2 linked regions of the Rhinolophus ferrumequinum genome follow. The protein of the gene in region 1 interacts with the protein of each later gene in a pairwise test. Links are inferred from orthologs where the notes say so. Each region holds a gene or a part of one and is shown on either strand. Other genes may lie near its edges.

What was found. The genes of interacting proteins can lie anywhere in the genome.
Region 2: the proteins of BCL2L13 (region 1) and PLN interact in binary tests that used the Homo sapiens proteins (3 or more experiments, as listed by UniProt). The two-hybrid records come from large-scale screens. The link is inferred for Rhinolophus ferrumequinum from reciprocal best matches to the Homo sapiens genes BCL2L13 and PLN.

Annotation. Positions count from the first base shown.
Region 1 is NC_046293.1:91,127,346-91,135,711, reverse strand, and holds the start of BCL2L13 (bcl-2-like protein 13), read right to left. Parts: upstream 3,053-8,366; 5' UTR 2,888-3,052; intron 1-2,887. UniProt on the Homo sapiens protein: May promote the activation of caspase-3 and apoptosis.
Region 2 is NC_046286.1:68,961,820-68,969,669, forward strand, and holds the start of PLN (cardiac phospholamban), read left to right. Parts: upstream 1-4,558; 5' UTR 4,559-4,672; intron 4,673-7,850. UniProt on the Homo sapiens protein: Reversibly inhibits the activity of ATP2A2/SERCA2 in cardiac sarcoplasmic reticulum by decreasing the apparent affinity of the ATPase for Ca(2+).

The DNA.
Region 1 (8,366 bases):
TTTTTTAAAAGTTCCAGAAATTAACATGAATCCAATAACTCTATTTTCTTAATCCATGCTTTACTAGCTCCTACAGAATTCTAAGACTTTTTCCAAAAGAAAATAGGTAAAATTAAATAATCCTAATAAAAACTGTAAAATTGCAAAAATTCACCCCATCCAGCTGAGAAATGCAACTGGGCAACGTGTCATTTTTAAAACTCAGCAAAACCTAAGTATTCTAATGTAGGCTATCCCTTTCCAACTGCAACATGTCTAATTGAAACACTCCAGTTCAATCTTGTGTTAAGATCTGCCCAAAAATGTTTTCACTCAGCAGTTGGCACTCCCAGATAATAATATACTTATGGAGGAAAGCCTTACTCTCACTCTCTCCCCACAGACATACAAACACAGTCTGACTTTCACAGTAAGTTAGGATTCCCATATGTGTAGATAGCTTGTGTAAAAGGAAGACATAAAATTCAGTTACTGTTACACTCCTAAGTATATACGCCAGAGAGAAATAAAAACACATGCCTATATAAAAACCTGCACAGGAATAGTCATAGCAGCATTATATATAAAACAGCCAAATAGTGGAAATATCTGCCCATCAACTGATAAATAAAAATGTGATATATTCATACAACGGAATATCAGGCCATAAAAAGGAATGAGGTTCTGACATATGCCATAACATGGCTGAACCCTGAAAACATTATGCTAAGTAAAAGAAGCCAGTCACAAAGTCCAAATATTACATAATTCCACTTATATGAAATATCCAGAATCAGCAAATCTACAGACAGAAAGCAAAACGGTGGTTGCCCAGGTAGGGAAGGTGGGGGAGAGTGGAAATAATGACTCCTAATGGGTACCAGATTTCTTTTTGGGGTGCTGAAAATTGTGGTGATGGTTATACACTCAGTGAATATACTAAAAACCATTCAATTGTGCAATTGGTGAGTTGTACCAGTATGCGAGAATTATATCTCAATAAAGCTGTTTAAAAGAGTCCAGCTCCCTTCAACTCTGTAATATGTATTACTTAAGAATTCTTGGTGACCATATATTTGGAATAAGATATGAACCAAAATCATGTTTGGAAAACAGTCATAAAAAGCAGGATGGCAGTACTAATTGTTTAAAACTTCTGTTTCGTACATTGAAAATATTTCATAAGAAATATCTTTTTAAACAATGATTATTATAGTTGCAAATCACTTGTCCTAACAACTTCTTATTTAAGATATTTAGGGCAGCCAGATGGCTCAGTTTGTTGGAGTGCATGCTCTTAACCACAAGGTTGCTGGTTCGACCCCCGCAAGGGCCGGTGGACTGCGCCCCCTGCAACTAAGATTGAACAAGGGCAACTGGACTTAGAGCTGAGCTGTGCCCTCCACAACTAAGATTGAAAGGACAACTTGACTTGGAGCTGATGGGTCCTGGGAAAAACACACTTCCCTGATAGTCCTGGAAAATACACACTGTTCCCCAATGAAGTCCTGCTTCCCTTCTCCAATAAAATCTTAAAAAAAAAAAAAAAAGATATTTAGTAAATATTGACTAACCGGTGTGCTAGTGATCACATTTTTTCTTTACAAAACAGGATGAACTCAACCTTACATATCCTCCAACTGAATTCAACTACTGAGGTAGAGTTCTCCATGAGAAAATGAGTCATTAAAAAAAAAAATACTTAGATGGTATTTACTGAGAGTAAAAGGATTTTCAAAATCCTTAATGGCCTATCATCAAATGAAGAATATTTCATAACGGTGTAAATATTTTCAATTTGCAGGTGCAAATGTGCAGTGTATATTTATCCAACTGTGTGTATGAGGTATAAATAGTTCACTACTTACACAAACACTTGCTTAATTTTCTGGGAGGAAAGAAGAAGGTATCAGAAGGGTGTGGCAAACTATCCAAGGTCACACAAGTCAGAGCAGAGATCAACATTCTGGTTTACACCAAACTCCCAGGGGCACTCTTACTAAAAATTTCGCAAAGACTTTCTGTTGGTTGCTTTATGTCATTGAAGTGGGGGTTAAGGAGGGACTGTCAGTTTACTTCTAAATAGAGACGATGAGATAGCTATTTTGGAAAAACACACACTTGTGCGGGGAGTGCTTAAGAGCTAAACAAAGCTAGCAGTCAGGAGCCTGTGAAGAGCTGGCCAGTTCCGTCCGATTTCCAACCCCGTTAAAGCCTCAACTCAAGAGTCTAGTTTTCCTTCAGTCAGTTATTAAAGAAAAGAAACTTGGGATCTCCTTGGAATGGTGAGAAGATAGAAATCAAAGTAAGAAACAACACAGTGTAAACTATTGCATCCAAGGGTATGGAGGGTTTTTCTGAAAAAATGATAATGGGTGTCAGAACAGCAGTGAAGAAAGCATAAACAATTTCTAACACTGTTAAGAAGAAACGACTAGGATGGGCAGAGCTAATCTATAATTCTAAACGAATCGCAAGAAAACCTTTTCCTCGACCAAAAAGAAGCCCACGTTCCCCAGCCTGGTTCTAAAAATGGAGCCGGGTTTTCGGTGTGAGGGTATCGGTGGGGAAGAACCGCGGTGCAGAGCCGGAGCCGGGATCCTTCGCCTCCCGCAGCCCACGCAGGAAGCCCCGCTCCACAAGCGTTCGCGACGGGACCTTGCTGGACAGGTCCAGCTACGGTGAAATGGGCCCTTTAAGCTTCTAGAACCCTCGGGCGAAGAAGCGCCAGTACACATGCACACTCATTCACTCACGGTCAGACACGGACACTCACTCGCGCGTCGCCGGAACCACTGAGGGGCCGGTGGTTCGGCACAGTCTCTGGACACCTCCCTACCCAGTGAAAAACCGCCTGAGGAGCTGAGTGAGGACCAGCTCTGCCTGCCCGGAACCCCACTTCCCTCACCTGGCCCTGGCCCCTGCCCCAGAAGAGATGAAAGAGGCGGCGGCGGCGGCGGCAGCTGTTTCCGACAGGGTCCCCCAGCGGCGGTGCCTGCTGCGACCGGCGACCCTAATCTACCGCCGCCGCCATGTTGGAGGGTGAGGTCACCCCCGGCGTGCTTCCGTCACCGCCGGCGCGGGGCGGGCCGGGGCGCCGTGGGGCGCCGGAAGGGGCGGCTCGTTTTCCCCAGCGGAAGTACGGACCTTGCAGTTTTGGAGGTGTCTTCGTGCAGGTGTGACCCAGGAGAGTCGACCTCTCCGATCCCTCTTTTCCCAGGAGTCGCTCAAATGTGATTCCTGGGGTTGGTGGAGGTCATTGAGGGCTGATGGAAGGGAGGTGGGATACTGACGAGGGGAGAGGAGCTGGCGATGCCCACAAGAAGCATTGCTGCTTCCAAGAACTATGTTCCGTATCCACAGAATATGTTCTACGGCTGTATTAAACAAACAAGTATTGCGCTTTCAGTGTGTAATCGACCGTGTTCGAGAACTGTCAAGAATGTCAGGAGAGCTGCAGAGTTGGCAACCACTTGTCAGAAAAGATTTCTGGGGGTTGGGAGTAGAGAGGTCATTCTAGGTGGAGGGCCCTGCTTGAGCAGAAGCACTGTGGAAATAAAAGGAATCTTCAGTGGTAATCCATTGTGTTCGTAGCGCCCAGCGCTGGGCCTGGAATAGAATTTGCTAATGGATGTTTATTTACTTGAACCCAAGCGTCCTTTGTGGCAATCACTGAAGGTAACTAGTTGAGAGGGCCTAGTATCTTTAACCACGCTTTAGGGAAATCCAATTGTCAGTGTGTACATGAGATAAGTTGGAAGGAGAGCGTTGAAGATGAGTTAGAATGCTGTTGCAAGGAGGCAGATCAGGAATGATAAAAGCCTGATGAGGAGTGACTGCTGATGGGTACAGGGTTTCTTTTGGGGGTGATGGTTACACAGCTCTGTGAATATACTTGAAACCATTTAATTTTACACTTTAAATAGGTGAATTGTATGATATGTGAGTTATAGCTCAATAAAGAAAACAGAACCTGAACTAGTATGAGAGTGCATGGGAATTGAAAAGAAGGCTAGAGCTGGCCTCATAAGAGGCTTTAAGCCTGTGTGACTGAGAAAATGGCGGTGCATTAATAGAGGTTTGCCGAGAATAGGCTGAGTGGGCTAAGAAGGCCGTCAGGAACTCCCTAGCAGTACCTAATAACCAGTCCATATTTAAATGTTCGCGATTGTCCTAATGGCTTTTATAGTTTAAAAAAGGGGTCATGCATTGCATTTGGTGTTACATTTTTATTAGTCTCCTAGTCTTATTTTAAATAACATTGACTTTTTGAAGTATACTCATACAATGGAAATTACACAGCATAAAGCAAAAATGAATCATTGATATGTGGCATACAAAGTAATCTCAAAAACACTGTGTTGAGGGAAAGAAGCCAGACACAAAAATGTACATGCTGTGTGATTCTGTTTATATAAATTTCAGAAATAAGCAAAATTAATTAATGGTTATAGAAATCTGCACACTATTGCCTGGGGCAGGGGATGTGGGATTGACAAGAAAGGAACTTTCTAGCATGATGGGAATATTCTGTATCTTGATTGGGGTGGTGATCACACAGACATCAGAACTCATCTAATTGTACTTTTTAGGTCTGTGCAGTTCATTGTATGTAAATTTGTCCCCAAAAAGTCACATGAAATAAATCTGTGTAATTATGTTACTAATTTGATAAACGGTTAGGTTCATTTCTTTCAGATTGCTTTCAGTTTTAGGGTTTGCTTTTTTCCCTTTTTTATTTTACTTTTTAAATGTGTACTATAAGGATAGTATGTAGGTTAATGAAACAGAATAGCAATTCCAGAATGGTCAATTGATTTTTGACAAAGGTGTCGAGGCAATTCAACGGAAAAAGGGGATAGTCTTTTCAGCAGATGGTGTAAAGTAATATAGTCTTTTACAGAAATTATTTTACTTTCATCACAGCAGTGTATGCGGTTTTGTTTTGACAGATCTTATGAGTGATACAGAGTTCTAGCCTACAGCCAGATGTGATTATAAATTCTAACCTCTAGACTCTACTCATTTTATTCATTCTCATTCCTCATTTATTGAACGCTTCCTATGTAGTAGGCAGTGTGCTGGATGAGTGTAGGTCAGACATGGTCCCAGTGAAGCTGACATTATCATTGGAAAACCAGACAAAAACCTAGAAATTAAAAGAAAAAAAATTTAATTGTGGCATATCCTAAAGTAAATAAAAAAGGGGCTGGAATAGAAAATAAGGTGAAAAGGTGTTTATGAAAAGCTCTCTCCAAGAAGGGGATATTTTAAGTTGAGACCTAAACAATGAAAAACAAACTAAGGGAGAATAGAACTTCTCAGGCAAAACGTTTGGTGTTTTCCAGGAACTGAAAAGAAGCCAGTTACTCTGAGGTGGCTTGCTCTGAGGTGAAAAAGAAGCCTTGCTCTGAGGTGGAGAGCAAGGGAAGAGGGGTGATGAGCTCAGACAAGCAGGCAGGGCCAGGTCGAGCCAGGCAGCGCTCACACGGACAATGGTGTAAGGTGTTCACAAGCAAATAGAAGCCACTAGAGGATTATAAATTCGGGGGTGACTAGATGCCATCTAGGTTTTCACTCTTTCTGCTATGAGGAATCTTGGTTGGAAAGTGGCAAAAAGTGCATGTGCCTAAGTTAGAATTTCACTACTTTCTGCTACCATTTGTTTTTTCTCTTTAAAATTAATTCCTCAACTTTCAAAGAGAGATGATTTACTTTCATCTCTGTTAGGTCTCTGAATGTTAGGTCTCAGAGAGCCATGTCTGCAAGAAAACAAAATATCTGTTGGCCTGCGCCTGCAGACAGAGCCAAACTTGCCATAACAGAAAACGCCTCAAAACAGCTACAGGCAGTTGCCTGGCAAGCAGTCAACCTTTTCTGTTCAAACAATGCTACCCTGTGAGCACCGCCCCCTATATAACCCCCTTCACCTCCTTCCTCAAGGGCTATAGCCTTCTTTGCACGGCCCCATAGACTTTGCTCTCTTACAATAAACTTTCTTAACTTGCCTGACCGTGCAGGCTCCTTTATCGGCTGACCTATCAACCTCCTGTGTCTCTCTGTCTCTCTCTCTGTCTCTCTCTCTCTCTGTCTCTCTCTCTCTCTCTCTCTCTCTCTCTCTCTCTCTCTCTCTCTCTCTCTCTCTCTCTCTCTCCAGACTGAATCCTCAGCTTGGGAGCAGGTGAGACAAAGAGCTAGTAAACCATCTCTTTGTGACTAAGCTGACCTGAATATAGGTCAGTGCTTTTGGTGCTTTGGTGAAGCCATAAGTAAATAGGCTTATCGAGGAGTGGGATTTTGGAATTTACCTGAAAAACTGTTTTAATAAAGCTTCTCCATAAGACCTAAGCTAACACAGGCGGATTTGGAAAACTACCAACTAATCTTTGTACATACTAACAATATCTTTTTCACTCCAGAGACTGTACCTGTGAAGCTTACCACGTTCTTATCCGACAAGACCTGGCCTGTTCCTTGGTGAATCAGCAAAATACTGCAGAACTATTTGTCAAGAGCATTAACATGAGGGAGGGGAAACATGCACAAAAGGGGATGTTAACTATGTCTGTAACACTATTTCTGTTATTTTAAAAATGAAGGCTGAGGCTGCTGGATAGCTCAGTTGTTTAGAACTCTGAACAACAGGGTTGCCAGTTCGATTCCCACATGGGCCAGTGAGCTGCGCCCTCCGCAACTAGATTGAAAACAGCAACTGGACTTGGAGCTGAGCTGTACCCTCTGCAACTAAGATTGAAAGGACAAACTTGACTTGGAGCTGATAGGTCCTGGAAAAAACACACTGTTCCCCAATAAAGCCCTGGAAATACACTGTTCCCCAGTAAAGTCCTGTTCCCCTTCCCCAAGAAAATCTTAAAAAAAAAAAAAAAAAAAATGAAGGCTTTAGGCAAATGGGACAAATACTAATTGTCAACTTGGGGTGGTGGTACATAATTACTATTTGAATTATTCTTTGTACTGTTGATGTAAGAAACATCCAAACCTGTAGAGAATTTTTATAAGTTTATGTGAGCCAAACTGACATGGTGGAGAGCAAGATATCAAATGCTCTGGAAAATGAAAGTTTTGCAGCTTCTTTTATGCATTTGAAAATAAGGAGGGAAAGTAAGATTACATGATGGTGGGAGAAAGGTGTGAACTGGATTGCAGGATAGTTAGCAAGTTTATTTGCTTTATTGGGGGTGGTTATGGTTTCTTTCTAAGGTGTGTTAACTTGGATGCACAGAAACAATGGACAGGCCTTGCTGAAGGCAAAGATGAGCCTTTACCAAAGAAGTTATATGCCTAGGGCGTGACTACCCACCATGACCTGCTCAGTTAGAAAGTTATGATCAGATAGATCACCCTTTGAGGTTTCTTCCAAAGAACACCTTTGTTTTCATCCACAGTACTTTTCTGTATTTTTAATGTCTCAAAATTTCAATAAATAAATCATAAAAATCAGCACACTGTTTTCCAAAAAAACAAAAGTGTAGTGATCTGGACTGTGTTACATCTGTTCCAAACATTAATTTCATAAATGATTAGACATGTGGCATTAGATAGCTGCTCCCACTCACCAACCCATTATTTGCAGAATATTGTAAAAATAAATGGGAGGACGGACTGTAATCCAAATGAGTGAATATCACCTCCTCCTGACCTAGGGATGCTAGAGAGAGGCATAATCCTGGAATTCTGTCTCTGGGATGGTGAAGAATGAAGTTATTAATGCAAAAGCTTACAAGATGAGAGAAGCCTATTGAGACTGGTTAGTTAGCATGTTGTTAGGTAGACAGGGAGGTCCCTGGTGGGATAAACAAAAGGCAGCCATATCCTGAAACTCCTGGTTCTAGAATGGCTCCTTCACTCCAGGACAAAGATATGAGAATGCACCTTGAGGTTAATAAATTATCTCATAAATCCCTTTTGGCCAGACAAAGGAGCAGATCTGATAGATAGGAATGGGTTCGTTAATCCCTTTAGGATCTAACAGATAAGGATGGATTGTTAATCCCTTTGGGGTGGGCAAACAGGACAAACCTGATAGAGGAATTCCATTAGAAGGTGCCAGCCCTCTTCTCCAAGCAGGCAAGGGAAGGTATAAAAACCAGAGCCTTTGCCCCATGTTGGGCAACCCGGTCGGGACTCTCTCTTGTTCTGAGAGCTGCAACTCTTTACTCTTTACTCTTAATGAACTATCCTCTTTTACAACTCCTCGTCTCTCCTTGGTCCGTGCTTCCATTCCTCAGTTTCACGAGACATGATCCCAGCACAAAGAAAGTGTTCCTACATCACTATCATCTGGTTTAGCTCAGTTCCTTACAATACTGGTCAGGATAACGTCAATATCGTGGATTTCTGTTACCCTATTTTACTATCTGGTGGCT
Region 2 (7,850 bases), on another chromosome or scaffold:
TTCTCGCTCTTAGATGTTTTTCCAACTAATCCTTCCTTAGGTAGCTTTAAAAGTGATTCACAAACTTTTAATAATACAGTATCCTTAAGGGTTAGGTACGATCTTCCTCCTGGGTGTCTAGAAGGTCTAATTAAAAAAACTCCTATCTTTGAAGCACTGTGTGCATCACAAAAATTTATTCAAAGCCTGTATTTTACTGTAATATATTTGCCTAAGTATTAAAATGTTTTAATTTCACTACCACTTCAATTAGCTTTTTGTCAAAAAATTTCCAGAAAAACTTATCTATCTTGATGCTTCTTTTGCCTCCGACACAGCTACAAGTTGGAGTTTAAATACTCAGTGTAAAAAATTACATACATCATGATTTTCTTTATATAAAGTAAAATAAAAAATACTTTTAAGGAATACATTTTTTAAATGCCATAAAACTATACAAAAACAAATGGAAAGAAATAAACCCAGGATTCAGAATAATCATTTGCTTGGGTGGGGAGAATAGGACAAACAGGGCAAGAACATGTAGTTCGATATGTTATTACTAACATCCTGGCTTTTATTTTAGGTAATAATCTTAGAGATGCTTATTACTAAAATTTAAGGAAACTACTATTGCAATAAAATAAAAACTAAGTAACTACATAAATGAAGGCAGATAAGAGTAAATAAAGTACTATGAATTATTATGAATCCAATGAGGAAAGAAAAAATGTATTTTTAAGTTTTTAAAAGCTTGGTTTAGGGAATATGAGCTTTTGGTTTGGCCTTCCTCCACTCTTACCCCCCAAGGATATTTAAAATATTTTTAAAGGGCGAGAAATATTTTGACAGAATTTATTCTCATTCCACTTTTATCCCTAACCTCCCAAATTAGATGCACAGAACTAAAAAGAGAATGAATTACACTGAAATACTTATTTTAAAAAACAAATTTGTGATATAATATTTGTGCTTCTTTAATACATTAAATAACAATATTTACAGGCAGGTCTAATTATGGCAACTTCAAAGTAGTGATTAATGTAAACAGTATTTCAAACTATCAAAACAACGACTATATGAAATTATCCTTCCTCACTCCCCCCACAATGATCTTAAAATTGAGAAGGATTTTATAATTGTCCCTAAGACTTAATTCTGCAGGATCACTCATTCACTACCAATTCACTTGCAATCTTTCCTGGTCCCCACTTTATTCACTCATCTAATCATTCATTCAATCAATACTACAAAGAACAAACAGTGATATAAATACGAATTATTGGATCAGCTCTCAAGGAGCTTGCAATCTAGTCTAGGCACATACACTAATAAATACAATAAAAGAGAGATGATACCAAAGGTACATGCAAATTGTTTGATATAAGGCAGGGAGGGCTGCACAGCACATATAAATTGACAGCCCTTTGATGGGCACAAAGGTTGGTAAGAAGGACACTCCTACAAAAAGCAGGGAGGCTGAAAATAGAACAGCAGCCTGTTCAGAGAGTCCCTGGCAGCTAACTGTACAAGGCCAGAGACAGACTACAAAGGAATGTGATAAGAGACGAAGCTGCAAAGACAGGGCCTAAAAAAGCCAACTCAGAAGTCAGGATTTTAGCCTCTTTGGGAGCTCAGTCCTCCTCTTTCAAAAAGGCCGCCACACACAACTAAAAAACATCCTGTAACAAAGGAATTCTTCATTTTTTGTGTGTGCCATGGACTTTTCTGGCAGACTGCTGAAGCTTACTGATCTGTTCTCCAAATTTTTTTATATACATAAAATACACAGGATTCCAAATAATTTTTATAGACATTCTGAAACTCTTACGGTAGTGAAGCCTAAGCGTAGCTGCGCATGTGCCTTTCTTCTGGAGAGCACAGTAAGGAAGGAGTAAGAAAAGAGTAACTTTACATGGAGAAACCTGACGAACATTACACTTCAGCCAGGCGATCAAGGTTAACAACACTGATGTCACAGTGATAGTTTACACTTTGACAGGTGATGAAAACGGCACTTGAACTCTCTCGTCTTCCTTGCAAAAACACATCTAACTATAAGAAAAACATCAGACAAATCCCAACTGGAGGTCATTCCACAAAATATCTGACTAGAACTCTTCAAAATGGTTGGGGTTATCAAAAAAAAAGCAAACTCTGAGGAATGTCACAATCAAGGGGACCAAAGGAAGCATGTCTACTAAAGGCAATCTGGTGTCCTGGATAAGATCCTGGCAAAGAAAAGGAACACTGGGGAAAACTGAGGAAATCTGAATAAAGTATGGGTTTTGGTTAAAATAATCTATTACCATAGGTGTAACTGTTGTAACAAATGTACCATACTAATGCAGGATATTAACAATAGGGGAAACCAGGTGCAGGGTATACAGGAACCCTCTGCACTGTATTTGTAATAATTCTGTAAATTTAGGGTTGTTCCAAAATAAATTTTTTTAAAAAATTAAGATGCACAGAACTAGAAAGAAAATGAATTACACTGAAATACTTATTTTAAAAAACAAATTTGAGATGTAATATTTGGGCTTCTTTAACACAATAAATAATATTTACAGGCAGGTTTAATTATGGTAGTTTCAAACTAGTGATTAAAGTAAACAGTATTTCAAGCTATCTGCAACAACTGTAACATATTAAATTATCTGAAATTGCTACAGTGACAGTCAAATGTGCTACTAACACTTCTGCAGTTTGTGGTGCATAGTCAAAACTGAAGAAATGCTAAATCTCATTTAAAGGTTACTAAAGATGTAATTGTTTTCCTATCCAAGTTCAAAGACCATTGAACTCTACCCATGGACTGCAGGTTAAGAATCATCTTCTAAAGGCAAATAAAAACTAAATACTAACACTAAATGGACACTGTGTTGCAGGACCTCTGATAGTCACTACACATAATTCATCTCATTAAACCCTCACAACAAACCCAGTCCACAGACAAGGCAGCTTAGGGAAGTTGTACATGATCATGTGACCAAAAATTCAAATTCTATAGCTTGATGCAAAATGGAGTCTGACAAAGCACCTCTAAAAACAATTTCCAGCCCCTAGTTGTGGAATTTTGAGGAACACTACTGATTATACTGTAGTTCACCAATGCTCCTACTAAACAACTTTCTGTTTAGGCTAAATCAGGCTGAAACTGAAGTACGTATAACACTTCCTAGAGCTCTACTTGTACTAATAAACAGCAGCAGCTAACCAAAAGGAAAAAGGTAAACACAGAAGCTCCCCACCCTTGTACAAATCTAAAAAGTATATTTTTGTCTCCATTTACCAACTCTGACACACCCAGTTCATTAGTATCCTTCTAAGGTGTGTGTATGCGCGCACGCGCACATGCACACCTATGTAGGTTTTTAAAGCAAATATAGCAACATGTGAGATATCCATAGCATATTTTATTGAGTCTATGGCAGTTTCTTAGTTTATCCAACTGAGTATTACTAATTCTATTTTCTTAGAACTAGAGGTGCTGATACAATGATCTATTTTCAAATGAATGTGTAACTGGCAGACACTTAAAGCAGACTTTCTAAAAATAGTAAAAGTTTTCAATAATTCATTTATCTCCATCAAAATTTCTTAGTTTATGTATGCTACTCTATGAAATCTATATCCAAATTATGATTTCCACCCCCACAACATGCCATTCTATCAGTGAACTGTAACTAAACAGATCCGGATTTGAATCCTCAGTCTCTCTCTTAGCAGATGTGTCATCTTTGACAAATTACTGTAAACCATTTTATGCTTGCATTTCAAGCCTAGGTTTTATATTTCAGTCATCATTGGCAATTGATGATAATAAAAGATTCTTATTATGTAAGGAATGAAACAAAGAATGCTTGTAGAGCACTGAGCAAATGTCAAACATTATTCATGAAATATTTTTAATTTTGAGTTTTACTTTTAAGTTGTAAATTTTCCGTTAGCAATGTTCACAGAGGGTCATCACTGAAATATTTTTTCTGTTAGTTGTAGCTGATTCTTTAAATAATGAGAGATTTGCTCTAGAGAATGATTTTATCTTTCTTTGGAAGAAGCCAAAATCATCTCCATTTAAGGGCACATCAGCAGCTGCTGCACAACACATTTTAGTTACCCATAAGAAAGTGAAGCAGGCTGAGTTCATGTCTAATTATTGTCTTGCTAGAAGCTAACATTATGAAGCTGCAATGTCAAAGCACCTGCAGCAAGAGCAACTCAATACAACTTGTTTGGCTTAAACCAGTATTCTCATTCTATGAAAGTTCCTATTACTGTAACTATTTTAGTTCTTCAACATTATCACCATGAGAATACAATCATTTCTAAGCCCAAAGATGCACAAGTATTTAAAAAGAGCTTTCTACCACCCCAAACAGTTTTTTCATCTCTCTCATATACTTTTAAAAGTTAAAAATGAGGCACAAAGTGTTAATGACCTTTCCAAACCTAAAGTGAGATAAATGACATTCTAAAAAGTTTGGGTGTGGTAAGACTATGGCTAACCAATCACATCTGCAGAATTCCTCTGTGACATCATGAGACCTCCCTAGAACACTTTTTCTCCTCTCCCAACTTCAATTGTTCCCATAAATCTGGTAACAGAGAAAACTTTCCAGCTAAACGCCGATAAAGACTTCATACCACTCACAACACTCTATACATTGTGATCGTCACAACAGCTAAGGTAAGAAATAGATTTCACTGATTTGGGAAATTCTTAGTTTCTGTAATTCAAACTTACTGAACTCTTTAAAAAGAATTAATCATATATTGTAAATTATAGCTCAAAGTTAGACAATAAAATGTCTGATATGACAAAAAGCTTAATTTCTAAATAAATGCTTATAATTCAGTGACTAAGAATAAGACTTAGCTTTGAAATGAAAAGGGTTGCATTCATCTTTGATCTTGGTTATTGGTTTTTTCATTTTAATTTTCACGTTCATTTTGCTTTTCAAAGTGAATTTCTGCCAATTAAAATACCTTTCAAATTTGGTTGGTGATAGTGGTGATTTGATTTCTTCAGGCAAAAACAATGGCTTCATTTTGTTATTTGTTATTCTGCTGAGAAACAGGGTGGGCTGTCTACATCTGGAATACTATGAACAGTCCTGTGATTGTACAACATGCACATCATTGGCATAACTTTTCCAATATTATTATTATGATTCCTTACAGGGAATATTAACAAAGTAGAATTGAAGAATATATAATCAAAACTATTTAAAATGCTTTTGAAGACTTTTTTCCTTTCTATAAAGTCCAGTCAACTTTAACAAACACTGCTAAAAAGAAATCCAAGCTTTTAATAAATTGAGTTACTTACATTAATTTCAATACCATATCATAAATAACAAGTTTGAAAATTCCAAAACACTTGTCAAGAACACATGCAAAATTCTTTCTAAATGCACAGAATACAATGTGGCACTTTAAAAATAGATCTTATTTTAGCAGCACAAACATTCCTAAATATCCCATTTGAATGAATTTGATAAAATGAGTGTATATTCTACCTAGCAATGAAAATACTAAGTTACAATCTTCAGTTTCCTCTCTCACATTTAGAAGGGGGGGGGGAGGAAAAAAGAAAAATAACTTCTGGTTGAATTCTACTCTACTTTTTATGTTATAAATCTCAATTTACTATATGAAATGTGTCTTCATTCTTAAATCTCATAGTATAAAGAATATTACATCGATTTTATTTCATTCTTTTCATTTTCATATATATAGGTCAAAATAAAATTCATCTCTAAAATTCTGAATTCCTATGACAAATGTTAACTCTACTGCTAGTTATAGAAAGAACTCTGTAATTCCACAAGCAGCTTTCCTTAAGGCATGCAAAAACATTCCTGGTTTTTGCCTACCAATGAGGCACCCTCACTGCCTCTCAATATCTTTACATTCATAAAATGTTTTTCCTTTGATATTACAGGGAAGTCACTCAGTGTAGGTAGGTGTCTTATATGCATATTTATTTATTTTTACTCATATACCTATCAAATTACATTCTCACATTTCAACTGTTTGTGAGTCTTTATAGTACCAGACTATCACCACATCACCTATTGCTCCAAAAAATTGACAATATCTAGAAAGAGCAGAAATTCTATTAAAGATATCCTTAGATAATGTGTCCAGAAAAACAAAAATTAGTTACGGTGACTGTTGTTCAAATTTCAAACATTGTGTTAGTGTCAGATATTTTGTACCAACAAGTTCATCTCAAACACAGGGTGAAATTTAAGTATTGTCTTTGTTTATAAAGACGTGTGGTTTAAAATTAAGTGCTAAAAAGGAGTGTCAGATGAAATAAAATGGAAGAAATGTGCAAGATGTTTAAATTATGAAAACTGATTAAATTTTAAAGACACGTGAAAGAGCTAGAGTACCTTGCTTTATTAAAAGAAGTCACATCACTAGCATTTCCTAAGACTCAAATATCAAAAATTATTTTAATAGTATTTTAGTAGACATAAAGAAAAGTAATATTCCAGAAAAAAATTGCATTTGGTTACATACTTATCCATACTGTTTCTTAATTTCACTAATTAGAGATAGAAGAATACTGGTATAGATAAAACAGTTCAAAGAAAGAATGAAAATTTTAATTTACTAAATGTATTAAGCAATATTATTAATTATGTAATAAATTATGTAACATATTAAAATTTTAAGTAAAACTTAAATGTAAAGATTAGATTACCTCTCTAAGCAAGGCTGTTTATTTATTAACAATCCTAGAAATATAAAGTCAATTGAAACTGCTTTCTTTTTCCTTGAACAATTTTCTAAATGCACTAGTGTATATAAAAACTTCACTTGATCCTTTTAGCTCCCGATATGTTTGACACCACATCTCTGTTTTACAATTTAGAAAACAGATGTGAAAACGGTGAGTTGCCCAAGGTCACAGATGGGAAATGGTGGAACCTTGGCAGGGGCCAAGATTTTCTGACTCTAAACCACATGTACATCCCACCCACGGGTCAACATGGCTTAAAAATAAAACATGACATTGGCAAAGCAAAATAAATTGAAAGTCCTCAAATACTGTTAATGGTACTCTAAAAGGCAAAGTTAGAGGACACAAACTTCTATTTTATTTAGAACCTCTCCATTTCATTTCAAGTTAATTTATGTATAAGGCATTATGTCCTTAATAGCCTATGAGTATACTACTATCCTGTTTATTTTCAAAGCCAGGGATGTAAGCATGTTATAGATGATCTTAGTTATTAAGTAATACACCCTGGAAGGTAAAACTGAAAACAATTACCAAGACTTTAAAAAAATAACATGATCAATCAATCAAATTAAAGTTCCTTTTTAATGTGTTTCACTGTTAAACTACTCAATGCTTTTCATCTATTTAGCCTTGATTACCTAAAATCCAGGTTAATTTCTCCTCAAAACTTTTCACAAAGCCACATTTTCACACTTCATTCCAGTATTATATTAAATCTTTTGGCTTTCCTCAATTTCCTTTCTCACCTCCTCACATTCTACCATTTAAAATATTCAACCCCATATGTTCTGAAATGCTTGAACAGAGGAATCTTGTTTTTATGCGGTGGAAATCACTAACCTTCATCTCAACTGTGAATTAACAGTGCTGATCATACCAGCCAAGGAGCAAACCTAAAGGTTAGAAATCTGGGAAATAATCCTTCTAAATTACAGTGACCTAAATCAGAAAATATGTACTCTCTTTGAACATTTCTAGAAATAGTACATCAATGTTCTCACTCTACATAATTCTGAAGCATTTAGTACCAAATAAACACATGAAAATGAGGCCTAAGTATACCCATCTCCACCCCAGTATACTTGTAGGTAACTGAGGACCTCTAGTG